Stegostoma tigrinum: one gene and its partner. The protein of the gene in region 1 interacts with the protein of each later gene in a pairwise test. Links are inferred from orthologs where the notes say so. Each region holds a gene or a part of one and is shown on either strand. Other genes may lie near its edges.

The links.
Region 2: the proteins of usp25 (region 1) and UV excision repair protein RAD23 homolog A-like interact in binary tests that used the Homo sapiens proteins (3 or more experiments, as listed by UniProt). The link is inferred for Stegostoma tigrinum from reciprocal best matches to the Homo sapiens genes USP25 and RAD23A.

The regions. Positions count from the first base shown.
Region 1 is NC_081365.1:8,220,322-8,228,355, reverse strand, and holds the start of usp25 (ubiquitin carboxyl-terminal hydrolase 25), read right to left. Parts: upstream 3,003-8,034; 5' UTR 2,950-3,002; coding exon 2,908-2,949; intron 1-2,907. UniProt on the Homo sapiens protein: Deubiquitinating enzyme that hydrolyzes ubiquitin moieties conjugated to substrates and thus, functions in various biological processes including inflammation and immune response.
Region 2 is NC_081388.1:16,541,154-16,548,176, forward strand, and holds the start of UV excision repair protein RAD23 homolog A-like, read right to left. Parts: upstream 3,022-7,023; 5' UTR 2,817-3,021; coding exon 2,751-2,816; intron 1-2,750. Other genes in the region: calreticulin-like, read right to left, coding at 6,775-6,963. UniProt on the Homo sapiens protein: Multiubiquitin chain receptor involved in modulation of proteasomal degradation. Binds to 'Lys-48'-linked polyubiquitin chains in a length-dependent manner and with a lower affinity to 'Lys-63'-linked polyubiquitin chains.

The DNA.
Region 1 (8,034 bases):
CACTCCACTCTACTGATCGATCTTGTCACAAAATGGCTTCAACTACTTCAATATTTTACTCTGCAGGTCTGTTGGGTTTTAAAATATTGACATTAGCAAGAAAAATTTTGGTTGAACGAACAGCAAAAGCAGCACAAAACGGGCCAATAAAATTGTACGGAAGACAATACAAAAGTTTCAATAAACTAAGATCTCTGAAAGCTCTGTATAGAAACAAGCTATTAATCCTAAAATAAAAATTCATGAATCCTATCACTATGCAAGCAGATGGGCTCTCTAAACATGAATTGAAAGGAAATGAGAAAATAAACATTTGCAATACCTTGTCTGATAAGAAATCATAAGCAACAGACAAGAGCATCTTAAAATATGCATCTGTCGACCTTTAAATCTAGGCCAACATCATAACTTAAAGAGAAAATATGTCAACAGTATATCATAGTACAATATATGTAAGATATACAAAAGCATACACAATATTTACATTATAATCATTCATCAAAACTCAATAGGTAAATAACTCAATAATGTATTAAGCATCAAAAAAACAACTTCAAAACTTCAGTTTATATCGCATCTTTCCTGATCTTCGATTATCTCAAAGCACTTTACAGACAAACAGGAACTTTTGCAACATAATCACTACTGTAATCTGGGAAAAGTGGCAGTCATTTTGTGCAAAGCAATGCCCCAAAACCACAATCTGATCACGAACATAGTATTATAATTTCAGTGATCAATATCTTGGCTATGCCAGAGGTTAAGTTCCCCATTCTTCTTTCATATAGTGAGGTCAGCTTATTCTACTTCCACCTGAAAAGAGTGATGTGGCAATGCCGCTGTTGGACTGGAATGGACAAAGTCTGTGTAGATTTGTGCGTATGTGAGTGTGTTGCGGGGAATTCAGTGTGTGTGTGTGTGTGTGTGTGTGTGTGTGTGTGTAAGTGAAGGGTGGGGGGGGGGGGGGAGACTGAGAAAATGAGCGTGTGAGAAACAACAGATGAATGAACACCACCCAACAATCACCAGACAAGAATGTTCCCTCCAAGTGGGGGAAGACTTCGACACGCAAGGACGCTTGACCTCGGATCTTCAAGTGGACTTTGGGATACACAACAATGAAGAGACACTGAGCAGAGGCTAATAGCCATGTCTGGTACCCAAGAGGATGGCCTCAACCAGAATCTTGGGTTCACATCTCACTACAAGTGACGCCCCCCCCCCCCCCCCCCCCGCCACAATACACACTCTTGTATACATATACATGCACACAACTCTCTCTCTCAAACTAAGATAACAAAGTGTGGAGCTGGGTGAACACAGCAGGCCAAGCAGATCTTAGGAGCAAAAAAGCTGATGTTTCAGGCCTAGACCCTTCATCACAAAAGGGTCTTTTCTGATGAAGGGTCTAGGCCCGAAACGTCAGCTTTTGTGCTCCTAAGATGCTGCTTGGCCTGCTGTGTTCATCCAGCTCCACACTTTGTTATCTCGGATTCTCCAGCATCTGCAGTTCCCATTATCTCTGATCACTCTCTCAAACTGTCTTTCTCTCACTCAAATCAATCGGGTCAATACGTATTGACAGCTACATTTTAGTTTGTTCAAAAAACACACAACTTATCAACAATTTTTTTTAATATAAATGTCTACTTTGGAAATAAAACCAGTCTGATTCCAAACTAAAACACAAACAGATTCTAAGCAAAGTCACACACCTAACTTGCATTGTCTAACCTAAAATGTCAACTCTTCCTTACTCTGGTAAAACCTTCAGTTCTCTCAGGACTGTGGCTTGAAAGGAATTCGTGGATTTACATATCCATATTAATTAAAACCTTAAAACTGATTAAAGATTTAGCAGCATCTTAAATTTGTTTAGGATATTCTCATCAATGGTGTGGAATGTTGATCTTTTACATATAAATTGTCTGATACTACCTCTCATTAACAACTAAATGACTGAGGCTCAGAAAGCTTGTGTTTTCAAATAAACCTGTTGAACTATAACCTGGTGTCGTATGATTTATGACCTGAAAACAGCAGAAGGTATGGCTCTTCGACATATCATTTTGAGAGAAAGTACCTCAGACAGTGCACCGCATACACACAACATGGTTCAGAACAAAAAGAGTGAAAATGCATCACGCAGTTCAGAAAATTTCATTCCACTGCCAGAACGAAATTGTTACAACTTGCAAACACAACGTGATTAATATGCCAAGGTGCTCCACAGGAGCACTGTTAGACAAGATTTGACACTGAGGAAGGGGGCAACCAAAAAGCTTACGGTTTTAAGGAGTGCCTTAAAAGAAGAGTGCGGAAAGGATCAGGTGGGAAAAATGCAGCTTAGAGGCTGAGGACACAGACAAATAAATGGCTGATTTTGTTAGTGAGGCTTTACAATTGTCCTCTACTATGGGCTGTGCCTCAAAGGAGGGAAAATTCAGGTGAAACCCTAACACTACGTCCAAAGTGAACTGAACTTGCCGCCCTCACCGCCAGGCAAAAATAAACAAGTTACAAATTTCATTCTCAGCCTGATTTAAAACTCAAAACCTTGCTGGCCTAGGCGCAATATCTCGGAAGAGCCTCTCGACCTGGGGCTGGTGCCAGCTCCATTAACACCCTGGGCGTTACAGTAGCATTATTATTGTTGCTGTTGCTAGGCTAGGCCAGAAGCCTGCGGCTCGCGTGCCAGCGCAGCGGGGGCAACAAGCTCCTCAGGCGGTGACCGAACGGCAGCGGTCTGGGGAACGGGGGGTGGTGAATGCAGGCGCGGGCGGGCGGACCCTCCCGAGTAAAGGAACATTCAGGGGCATCGTAGGTCCATGTGGACAAGAAGGCCGCGGACAGGCGGGAGGGGAAAAGGCAAGGTGGGAAGGAACCTCTCCTTTCCTGTTTGTTTACCTTCTGTGAATGCTGCTGCAGGACATTTTGTTCCACCGTCATGGCCGATCCACAAACAGAGAGAAGCTGCAGAGGGGGAGGGGCACAGGGTGGAGACTGGGCGGGGCTGCGATACTGGGCGGGGCAGGATGAGGGGTGGGACTAGAATAGGGGGCGGAGCTGGATGTGGAGCGTGTCTGGGTGAGGGGTGGGACTAGAATAGGGGGCGGAGCTGGATGTGGAGCGTGTCAGGGAGAGGGGTGGGACTAGAATAGGGGGCGGAGCTGGATGTGGAGCGTGTCAGGGTGAGGGGAGGGACTAGAATAGGGGGCGGAGCTGGATGTGGAGCGTGTCAGGGAGAGGGGTGGGACTAGAATAGGGGGCGGAGCTGGATGGGGATCGGTTCAGGGCGAGGGGTGGGAATGGCATACGGGTGGAGCTGGGCTAGTAGGGGAGCGGAACAGGTGGGGCTGGTAGAGGACAGGGAGCCTTGCTGGGAGATGGGCGGGGTTGAAGGTAGGGTGGGGCTAGGAATGGGGTGGCTAGTATGGCGAGGGGATGGGCCGTGGAAAGGAGGCAAGAGCAGATAAAGGGTCTGGAAACAGGGGTGAATGTGTGGGGTCTGATTGGTGTAGGGGTGGGGCTGGATGCTGCAGGAATGGGGCTGAATGGCGAAGAGGTGGGGCTGAGTGGTTTATGGTTGGGCTGTGGTGTAGGGGTGGGGCTGAGTGGTGAAGGAATGTTGCTGAGTAGGGTAGGGGTGAGGCTGAACTTGGGAAGTGGTTGTGGCATGGAGCGAAGGAGATGGGGCAAGATGAGTGGGCTTGGCAGGTAGATGGGTAGGTCTGAAGAGTGTAGGGGAGGGACTGGATTTGGAGAGGGGTTTGGAGAAAGGGCAGGGACATGCTGGGTAGGCATGGGGCTTGACAGGGAGAGAGGGTGTGGCTTGGTGAGGACTATGGGATGTGTGGTGGAGGGGTAGGTCTGGATGTGTGGCCAGGGTGCGGATAAGTGGGTGGGAATGGGGAGGGATGGATGCGGATGTGGGAAGGTGTTGTGCAGGGAATAAGAATGTGGTCGGGGTCAATTTGGGTGGGTGGTGTGAGGGGAGGGGCTGTTTGTGGAGTGGGGATGTAGGTAGGGGAGAGATGGGGGCAATGAAAAGGTGTGGTATGTGCAAGGTCTGAAGGGGCGGAGCAACGGTTGTGGAGGTTGTGGGGCGGGTGGATAAGATGGTGGGTCTGAGTGGGGGAGGGATTGCTACTGGGGTACAGTGACAGGGCTACGTCAAGAAAAGGGGCTGAAGGAGAAGAAGATGGAACGGCTGAGGGCAGAATGAGGGTGAGGGGCTGGTGTTGAGAGGGGAATGTTAGAAGGTTGGGTTTGGAGTTAGGGGAGGCATTGGATGTGGAGACAGGGTGTTGGGGCTGAAGTTGAAGGCAGGCGTTGGGATTGGAAGAGGAAACAGGGAGAGAGGGTTGGAGGTGTACATGTGGAGAGGCAGAGAGTGTAGACAGTGTGAGAGGGTGGAGTAGAGATGGTAGGGGCAAGGTGGGGGCCAAGATGGGGGGTGCTGAGGGTAGAGAGCATGGGTGAGGTGGGTTGGAGAGTGGAGGAGGGGTAGTGGAAGAGAGAGGTGGGAAAGGCTGGGGGAGGAGAGATGGTGGGAGAGGCTGGTGGTGGAGAAAGTGGGTGAGGTTGAGAGAGGGGATGGGGAGGTGGAAGTGCGAGGTGTTTAAAGGCTATTAGGAGAGTGGCTGTGTTTTTAGGGAATGCTGAGGGGCACAACCCGGGGAGGCGTAGCTTCTGGGGAAGAAATGGGTTGGGTAATGGGGATTAGCTGGGGAGAATGGGAGGGTCATTTGAGTGAGGGAGGAGCTGGGGTTGGGTATTATTTGGGGATGGGAATAACGAGAGTTCCCCTTCAAGCCACTCATCATCCTGGTATGGAAATGAATCACTAGGTCAAAATCCTAGAACTCCCTCCTTAATAACACTGTGGATCTACACTTACTTTAAATAATGCTTTACTGTATAGATTAGTTCCTGACTCTCATTTACATTTTATAAGTACATGACAACAACTGAAGGAGGTCCAGTGTAACCTCACCCCAACGAGAACAAAACAAAGATAATGGGAACTGCAGATGCTGGAGAATCCGGGATAACAAAGTGTGGAGCTGGATGAACACAGCAGGCCAAGCAGCATCTTCAGAGCAGGAAAGCTGATGTTTCGGGCCTAGACCCTTCATCAGAAAGGTCTAGGCCCGAAACGTCAGCTTTCCTGCTCCTCTGATGCTGCTTGGCCTGCTGTGTTCATCCAGCTCCACACCTTGTTATCAAGAACGAAACAAACATTGTTATGACCACACCTTTGCCTTTTCCCAGTCCATCACTGACTCCTCCCATCCCTTTCTTGATAGCTCTGTTTCTATTTCTAGGAATAAGCTGGCCACCAATATCCATTAAAAATCTACTGACTCCCAAGGTTAATTTGACCAAATATCATCACACCCTACTTCCTGTGAGTACTCTATTCCATTCTCCCAGTTTCTGCATCTTCATTGCATTTGTTCTGATTATGTTACCATTTGCAAGTGACCCTCAGAAATGTTCACTTTTTTCCACCACCAAGAATATCCTGGCACAATGGTTGACAGGGCCGTTGGCCATGTCTGTTCCATTTCTGCATTAGGTAACCCCTCAGTCCCCTCCTGCAACAACAATCCTCATTTTCCACTCCACCAGCCTCTGTATCCAAAGAATCCATCATTTACTCCACTTCCAACAGAATGGCACCAGCAGACACACATTCCCCTTCCATGTCAGCATTCTACGGGGACTGTTTTCTCCGGCACACCCAGGTCCACACCCTCATGGTGCCTTCTCAGGCCTTTGCAGAAGGTGTAACACCTGCCTATGTATTCCCTCTTCACTAACCAAGGACCCAGACACACCTTCCAGGTGAAGCAGCTATTTACCTGTACTTCGTCCAATCTAATGTACTGTATTCGCTGTTCACTATGTGAACATTGGTGAGACAAAAAGTAGCCTGGGGTGACTGCTTTGTCAAACACCTATGCTCAGCTGATAAAATTGACTCCAGCTTCCAGCTTTCTGTCACTTCATCATATCACCATGTTCCCATGGCAATTTTCTGTCTTAGGCCTGCTGCAGTGCTCCTGCAAAGCTCAAGACAAGCTGGAAGAACAACACATCTTTCGCCTCGGTACCTGGTAGCTTTCAGGACTGAACATTGAGTTTAACAATTCAGAATGTGGTCATCACACTCCATGTTGGCTACCCTCCCCTTTTACCCCCGCGTTATCTGCATTTCTGTCTACATAGCCAACACATTTTCAACTGTCCATACGTTACATTATCACTCTACTTAGCATTTATCTCCCTCCTGGCTTATCATTGGATATTTCTATGCTCAACTCTTTGTTTGCCTGTCCCTTTCTCTCACTCTCTCCCTTTCTGTCTCTGTCTGTATCTATCTCTCTCTCTCTCTATCTTTGCCTCTCCCACTCCATGTCTGTGGTCTGTCTCTGTGTAGTGTAGTCACTTCTCTGCACTCCATCATTAGCAGAAATTTACTGTGTTTCTCCAGGACTCTGTTTTTGTTTTAGATTTCCAGCATCCGCAGTTTTATGCATTTATATTATTATTTATGACCAGGGAAGGATGAGTGTATGGCTGCAAAATAAATTTTAAATTCTTTTTAGCACACATTTATTTCAATTAAAATGTAATACTAGTCAAAAGTAAGGAGTCAATCAACGGGTTTCCTTCGGTGAAAGAAAGGAGGATTTTATTAATTACTGACCCTTAAAAAAATAAAAATGAGACATCAAGCACACATGCAAACACAGATATAACATTTCAAAAGAGACAGTATCTAGTAAGAAGAAGGGAATTCAAGTGTATACAGTTTGAAACGTCTATAAGGAGTTAGGTTTAATGTGCGACCCCGGTTATTAAGTTGATGATTCTTATTTCAGCAGCAGTGAAATTTCTGAATATCTTTCTGTTCTTGGTGAATATATATTTCTCCAATTTGCTTCTAACACTGGGCATTGTATTTTAAGGGACACTGAGTGAAACAGGGAGAAAGGCAAGCAAGCCTTCCAGTTCTGCTATTATACACTTGAGTTTAGAAGGATGAGAGGGGATCTGATTGAGGCGTACAAGATTATTAAGGGATTGGACACTCTGGAGGCAGGAAGCATGTTTCCACCGATGGGTGAGTCCAGAACCAGAGGACACAGTTTAAAAATAAGAGATAGGCCATTCAGAACAGAGTTAAGGAGAAACTTCTTCACCCAGAGAGTGGTGGATATATGGAATGCTCTGCCCCAGAAGGCAGTGGAGGCCAACTCTCTGGATAGTTTCAAGAAAGAGATGGCTAGAGCTCTTAAAGATAGTGGAATCAAGGGTTATGGGGTAAGGCAGGAACAGGATACTGATTGTGGATGATCAGCCATGATCATAATGAATGGTGGTGCTGGCTCGAAGGGCCGAATGGCCTACTCCAGCACCTATTGTCATTGTCTATTATGAATCCATTTACCCTCTCTCAATCAATGCTCAAAGGTATTTGTCTTAAGTATTATTCCTTTATGTATTCCTGTGTCTGCTTTCATTGGTGTTTGCAAGCTGAATACTCCATAATTGATGTTCATCCTAACGTTGAAACTTACAGAATGGGATAAATCAAACAGGAGATACAGATCTGAGCGACTAATCTTATTAATTTCAGTTCAGAATGGGTCTTGTTGATTGGTGATTTCATGATGTGGCTCATCTAGAGGTCTTACAATTACTGTGGCCATCATGTTAGTTTTTTTTATCAATTTAAAAGATATATTTTAAATTGTCTCAACAAAACATCCAAGATATTAAAACTCAGACGATAAAAATCATAAGTTGGTAGACCACTTTTTCCGCTATCAGAACAATGTGGGATCAAATAAAGTCAACTGCCTTCACTACTCTTGTGACTAACAAATGCAGGTCACAAAGGAACAAGGTGTAGAGCTGGATGAACACAGCAGATCAAGCAGCATCAGAGGAGCAGGAAAGCTGACATTTCGGGTCTGGACCCTTCTTCAGAAATGGGGGAGGGGAAGGGAATTCTGAAATAAA
Region 2 (7,023 bases), on another chromosome or scaffold:
TCCAAACACGTACCACCCGTGTGTGAAAAAGTTACATCGCAGGTCCTTTTTAAAGCATTTCCCTCTCACCTTAAAATTGTGTCGTCTAGCTTTGGACTCCCTAATCCATGACGCTCATGATCTTATAAACCTCTGTAAGCTCAGTCTCCAACACTCCAGGAGAAAAGAAGCCCCAATGTATTCAGTCTCTCCTTATAGCTCAAACTCTCCAGTCCTGACAACATCCTCGTAAATCTTTTCTGCACGCTCTCAAGTTTAATAACATCCATCCTATAGAAGGACAACCAGAATTGCATGCAATATTCCAAACGTGGCCTCACCAACATCCTGTACAGCTGCAACATGACATCCCAACTCTATATTCAATGTTATGACTAATGAAGGCAAGGGTGACAAATGCTTCTTCATCACCCAGTCTACCTGCACTTTCAAGGAACTATGCACCTGCACCCCTAGGTTTCTTTATTGGGCAACACTCCTCAGGGCCCTACTATAACTGTGTAAGTCCTGCTCTGGTTTGCCTTACCAAAATGCAACATGTCACATTTATCTTAAATAAACTTAATCTGCCATTTCTTGACCCAATGGCATATCCGATCACGGACCTGTTGTACTCTGAGATAATCTTCTTCATGTTCGCTACATCACCTATTTTGGTGTCATCAACAAACTTACTAACCATACCTCCTATATTCAAATCCAAGTCATTTAATTAAATGACAAAAAGCAAGGAATCAGCACTGATCCCTGCAGCACACCACCGGTCACTCGCCTCCAGTCCAAAAAGCAATATTCAACCACCACCCTGTCTCCTACTTTAAAGTCAATTTTGTATCCCATTGGCTAGCTCCCCCTGGATCCCGAGTGATCCAACGTTACTAACAACTTCACCATGCAGAACCTTGTCGCACACTTTGGTGAAGTCCACACAGACATCTACTGCTTTGCCCGCATCAACCTTGTCTGTCGCCTATTCAAAATACTCAATCTAATTAGTAAGACACATAAAGCTATGCTGACTATCCCTAATCACACACTGCCTTTCCAAATATATGTAAATCCTGTCCCTCAGAATCCCCTCCAGCACCTTACCTACCACTGATGCAAAGCTCACTGGTCTCTAGTTCCCTGGCTTTGCTTACGGCCTTTCTTAAATAACAGCACCACATTAGCCAACCTCCGTGATCACCCATAACTACTGATGATACAAATATCTCAGCAAAGGTGACCACCAATTTTATTCCAGCTTCCCACAATGTTCTGGGAAACAGCTGACCAGGTCGTGGGGATTTATCTACATTTATGTATTTTAAGATCTCCAGCACTTCCTCCTAAAACAGAGAACAGTACAGGCCCTTTGGCCCACGATGTTGTGCTGACCTATTATCCCACTAAGATCAACCTACCCTGCAAACCCTACATTTTGCTATCCTCCATGTTCCTATCCAAGAGTCACTTAAAAGTCTCTGAAGTATCTGACTCCACTACCACTGCCAGAAGTGCATTCCACATGCCCACCACATATGACATCTCCCCTGTACCTTCCTCCAATCACCTTAAAACTATGCCCCCTCATAATAGTCATTTCTGTCATATCAACCTTTTCCAAGCCACCTCCATTTATTTCCAAGTTCCATTTCCTTCTTCACATTAAGTACTGAAGTAAAATACTAGTCATTCATAGTCAATACTTTTATTTCATGCTTAAAAGGCCTCCCACTTCCCAAACAAATTCACTTTACCTGGAAGGAAAACAAAGTTCCCGGAAAAACACAGCAGATCTAGCAGCATCTGGGGACAGTGGTCCCTCCTCAGAACTGCTGCCAGATCTGCTGAGCTTTTCCAGCAACGTTGTTTTCGTTCCTGATTTACAGCATCCATAGTTCTTTGGTTTTCACTTTACCTGTGAATAGCTTTCCCCAATCAACTTTTGGAAGTTCCTGTGTAATACCTTCCAAATTGGCCTCAATCCGATTTACAAATTTAAATTGTAAAATCAGTTCCATCCTTTTCCATAACTATTTTAAAACCAGCAGAATTGAGACCACTTGCCCCAAAGTGCTCTCCCACTGACACCTCTATCACCTGCTCTCCCTTATTTCCCAACTGAAGGTCAAGTATTGCTCCTTCTCTAATAGATACATCCATGGTGAATAAGAAAGTTTTTTTGTACACACTTAACAAATTTGTTCCATCCAAACCCTTAATACTACGACAGTCCCAGTCTGTGTTTGGATAGTTAAAATCCCTAACCAATACAACACTATTTGCTTATAGATTATCTGAGATCTCTGTGCATATTTGCTTCTCAACTTCCCACTGACTATGGGGCGGGGGCGCTATTAACAATCCCAACAAGATAATCATCCCTTTCTCATTTTAAATTCTTCCCCACTATAACCTCATTGGACGATCTCCCAGCAATTAACTCCCTATCCAAAAGAACCACACTTCTCCTTCTGATAACATCTACAGCCTGGAACATGAAGCTGCTAGTCCTGTTTACCTTTGAACCATGTTTCTGCAGCGGCTATGACATGCCGGTCCCAACCAAGCCCTGGGTTCATCTCCCTTACCTGTCAGGCCTCTTGTATTGAAGTAAATGGAGTTGGGCGAGGGATTGTGAGGGTTTGAGAGGGCTGTTGATGGGGAGGTGAGGGTCGTTGACTGGAGGCATGTGAGAGATGTTAGGGTGGTTGTGAGGTGGGGGGGTAAATGAGTACAGTGTTGAACCCCCTTCCCTCCCTCACCGTCTGCTCGGGGTCGATCTCGATTCTGAACGTTTGCTGCTGCAGCGTTTTCACGGTGATGAACATGGTGACGGTCTCCTTCCCCCTTACCTCCCCTCGCCGGGGAGGTGGAAGGGAAGTGGAACCGCCGCCGGGTGGGTTTTTTTAAAAAAGGCGATTAAAACAAAAAAAAAATCAAGTAATCCCGCTCCTCCGCCACCTGCGGTTTGCTCGAAGATTCCACCAAGGCCCCACTGCTTCAAGCCACCACCGCCATCTTTACGCAAACGCTACGCTGGCGTAACGTCATTGCCATGGCGACCGGGCTATCTCACGTGGTGTGTGGCCTTCCACTAAAGTCGGAGGGAAGATGTGCCAACTCGGACTCGTTACTTGTCTCAATGCCTGACAACTGTGCAATTAAGTTTCAATGTGCAAACGATAATGGAAATAAGAAACTTGCATTTATATTGAGGATAGGCAGTAGCAGCGTACTAATGTCACAAACAAATCATCCAGAAGTCCAGGCACTGCAGAGGCAGGTATAGGGTTTTGGGGGGGGGGGGGGGGGTGTGGGGAAAAGGTTCACTCTCCTGTTGCTGTATCTGCAGGGATTATAAATTGGTTCAAAAATATTTTTTAAGAAGAAAATCAAGACAACAATCAAGGCAGCTGGCAGAATTTAAAATTTAATAAAATGCATCAGTGACCATATCTTGCATCAGAGTTCCTGCTGCTAGGTTAGCAGGCCAGGTGCAAGTCCCACATTTTCCAAATGTAATATTGATTAGAAAATATCTGGGATATATCTCTGGTCATGGATAACACCATATGAAGCTGGATGAACACAACAGGCCAAGCAGCATCACAGGGGCAGGAAAGTTGACATTTCAGGTGGCCTTGACCCAAAATGTCAACTTTCCTGCTCCTCTGATGCTGCTTGGCCTGCTGTGTTCATCCAGCTTCATCCATGTTGTCTCAGATTCTCCAGCATCAGCAGTTCCTACTATCCATGTCTCCATCATGGCAGCTTTCTAAGGTTGGAATTATGAACAAAATGCACTGTAGGACCACCTCAACACATTCTAAGCAGCTCAAAGCACTCCACTGCATCACATTTAAAAAAAAAATCAGGTTAATAGCTCTGATGAGCACCACTCACTGAAACATGTCAGAAGTCATATGGGACCAGGTTTATCTGAAGTAACAAACCTTCCAAATGCAATCACCTGATGAAGGATCAGTGCTCCAAATACTGGTGATTTCAAATAGACCTGTTGGATTGTAACTGGGTGTTGTATGACTTCTGACTTTAAGCGTAGAAAACTTCGTCAGGGACTTGCGACAAAATTTTCTTTGGATTACTGAGCAGGACAGCATTATCTGAATGCAAACTGCATAAGTGTTAGAAAATGTTGCCCAAATTCATCCCCACCGTGGCTCCATTTTGAAGCCTCAAAACTGTTTCAGTCCGTCTGTCAAGAATGTGGCAGGGGAGAAGGACAGAGTAAGGGGACAGTCTGTCATAGCGCTTAACCTAAATTCCAACTTACAAACCTACTTGGGAGTCCAACTCTCACTTTTGAGACTCCTGTAATATTGTGAACTCAAAATGAAAGACAGGTGTCTTCAGGAAATATTGTCAAAATAAAGAATTACCTTTTAAATCAAGTCAAGTGATAGACAAGTACTGAAATGTGACATAGCTGATCAAAAGCAATGATTTCTGCATGTATAGGAGATCTGCTTTACATAGAGGGCTTGAACTGGGATTGACAACACTGCAACCATGCTCCAGCACCTCAGCCTGTAGGGTTTTTCTTTGAAAAAAAGATTGCTGTTAAAAAAAAATCTCTCCTGGCTCAAATGGTTTTTCTGGAGCAAATGACTGCTATTTGTGCAGTCTGAAGTCTTGTACAAAACCTACTTCCAGTAATTACACTCTTCACTCCCAAAAAAAAAGTGAAGTTCATGCATTTTCCATAGTTTGAAAAGCAAACAAAGTGCAAGTCTAGTACATAACTAGGGGACATAATCCTTACTTCTAAATTTAGGAGCTTGCTTTTAATTTAAAAAAAAATTACAACTTGAAAAATGCTCAACCAGAAAGTGGAAGCAGAATCTAGTGGCTTATTATGGAAGTAAAATTTTCAATATTTATCCAAAATAGAAATGGTGGGATTGCAGGGGTTAATTATCTATTAAGAGGTGATAGACAAATTCATTCTATGCTGCAAAACTCTGTTTTAATGAGTTAAGAGGTCAGTTCAGGAGGTGTGGAAATTGGTTACTCACAGGGATATCTAATAGAATCAATTGGAGAGAAAACCACCAACATGGAAAGAATTGCCATCTGACAAAAGCGCTCTTCATGGAGTTCAATTACCTTATTCTGTAGTCAAGAACATAGCAGTTGGAAAGCATCATAGCAGGACTAGACCATTCAGCATCAGGCTTTGTAATAAAAAGGTCGCCAATTTGTTTTACATGCATGCTATTTCTGATGAATAAAATGGTACCCAGGTCCCTCTGAACGGCAAGCTTTCAGGATCTTGACCCTTGAAAAAAATTTCTTTATGCACAAATCCAAACTGGATAACTTATCATAATTAACATCTGCCATGCCCATTTGATGACTTTAGCCCTTTGCAGTTTGTTTCTCCTCAATTTAATTTTCTGCATATTATAACAGTCTTTGTTAGGATTATCCTCTGACCCTCTGTATTAATTGATATTACAATTAGCTAAAATCCAACACTGATTCTTGCATTAATCTCACTGGCTACAGCCAGGCAACCCAAATGGCTTGTCCAATTCCAGCTTTATTAACCAATGAATCCACACTTTACCACCCCCAATACCAAAAGTCCATGAAATTCAAAGGACTAAGAACTATTCCAAACTGAAAAGGAAAGAACAAACAATTATTTCACTTCCATTGGTATTTATTGTAGAAATGTGATCAAACATACTTCTGTATTGCACACAGAACAAGTTTTCCCCAAACAGTCATCAATTAAATCACCAATTTACAACATTTAAATAACAGATTAAAATGACAACTTTAGACTTGGTCTGTACAGAATTTAAGTCTCCTTTTGAATGTTGTTGGAAATAAAGAAATTTTTCCCCCTCCTTTTCATGAAACCCCCATATAAAGAATGCAAAATACAAAGGCAAAGTTGACCCTGGATTTGGAAAGAGCCGATAAACATCCATTTATATAACCAGTGCAGTCCTGCTCTACCCAATTGTTCTGAATGGAAAAGGCAGCTATACAATTACACCTACAGTTGAAGCCCGTTAAACAGGGGCACCCCGCACCCCCCCCCCCACCTCAAATGGAAGTGAAATTGGTCAATTTAAATCATACCATCCCCAATGTTAATTCCCATCAGATTTTAGTTACACCTGGGAACTGAGTGGTTCTCAAAAACCAAAAAGAGAGATCTTATAAAGCAGTACAGCCTGGAAGTTAACTGGCATCAACTGTAGAATCTCAAACATGCTCAAGTACACTGTTCAGTTGTATCATGTTTACCTAGACAAAGACACAAAACAAGCTAACCTAACAGCACTGGAACCCAAAATTTGGAAATTACTGGCAGCAAGCAAATAGATTTGGGCTTCTACCAAATTTTAAACTGAAGGGTTGACCAATTTAAAAAAGCTAACACCTCAGTTGAAAAACAGCATAAACGTGCTCAGATGATTTCTAGGATTATTAAATGTGGCATGTTCAAGATGCAAGACACAACAGCCCAAGTTCCACTCAGGTTTGATCCTTCCCTACCCACCATTATGAAGCTGACTTCTAGTTACCAAATTTTTAATAAGGAAGGTTTAGAAATTTCAGCAGTCCCTTCCTCAGTGGATATATTCTCATGTTCACTTACTGCCCCAACCCTAAAAGCCTGACATTTCCCCCCCCCCCCGCCAATTTGTTCATAAACAAAAAACATTCCAATAAGGGGTCCCAGTTGCTATGTGTAACTTTTCTGCACATTGCCCTGCTGCCATTCATTCTCAGCATTTATTACAATCTTTATAACTCATCCTTTTGAACGGTTTCTGTTTCTTCTTCCTCCTCCTCCTCATCTTCCTCTTTTTCTTCCTTCTCTTCATCCTCATCCTCCTCATCCCCCTCAGCATCATCCTCCTTATCCTTCTCTTCCTCCTCTCTCTTCTTTCTCTCCTCTTCATCCTGTTGCTCTTTCATTTTCTTTTCTGGCTCCTGAAAAGACAATTTAAAGACAGACAGAGTCATTGAGTTGGGAATGGGTATGGAGAGTTG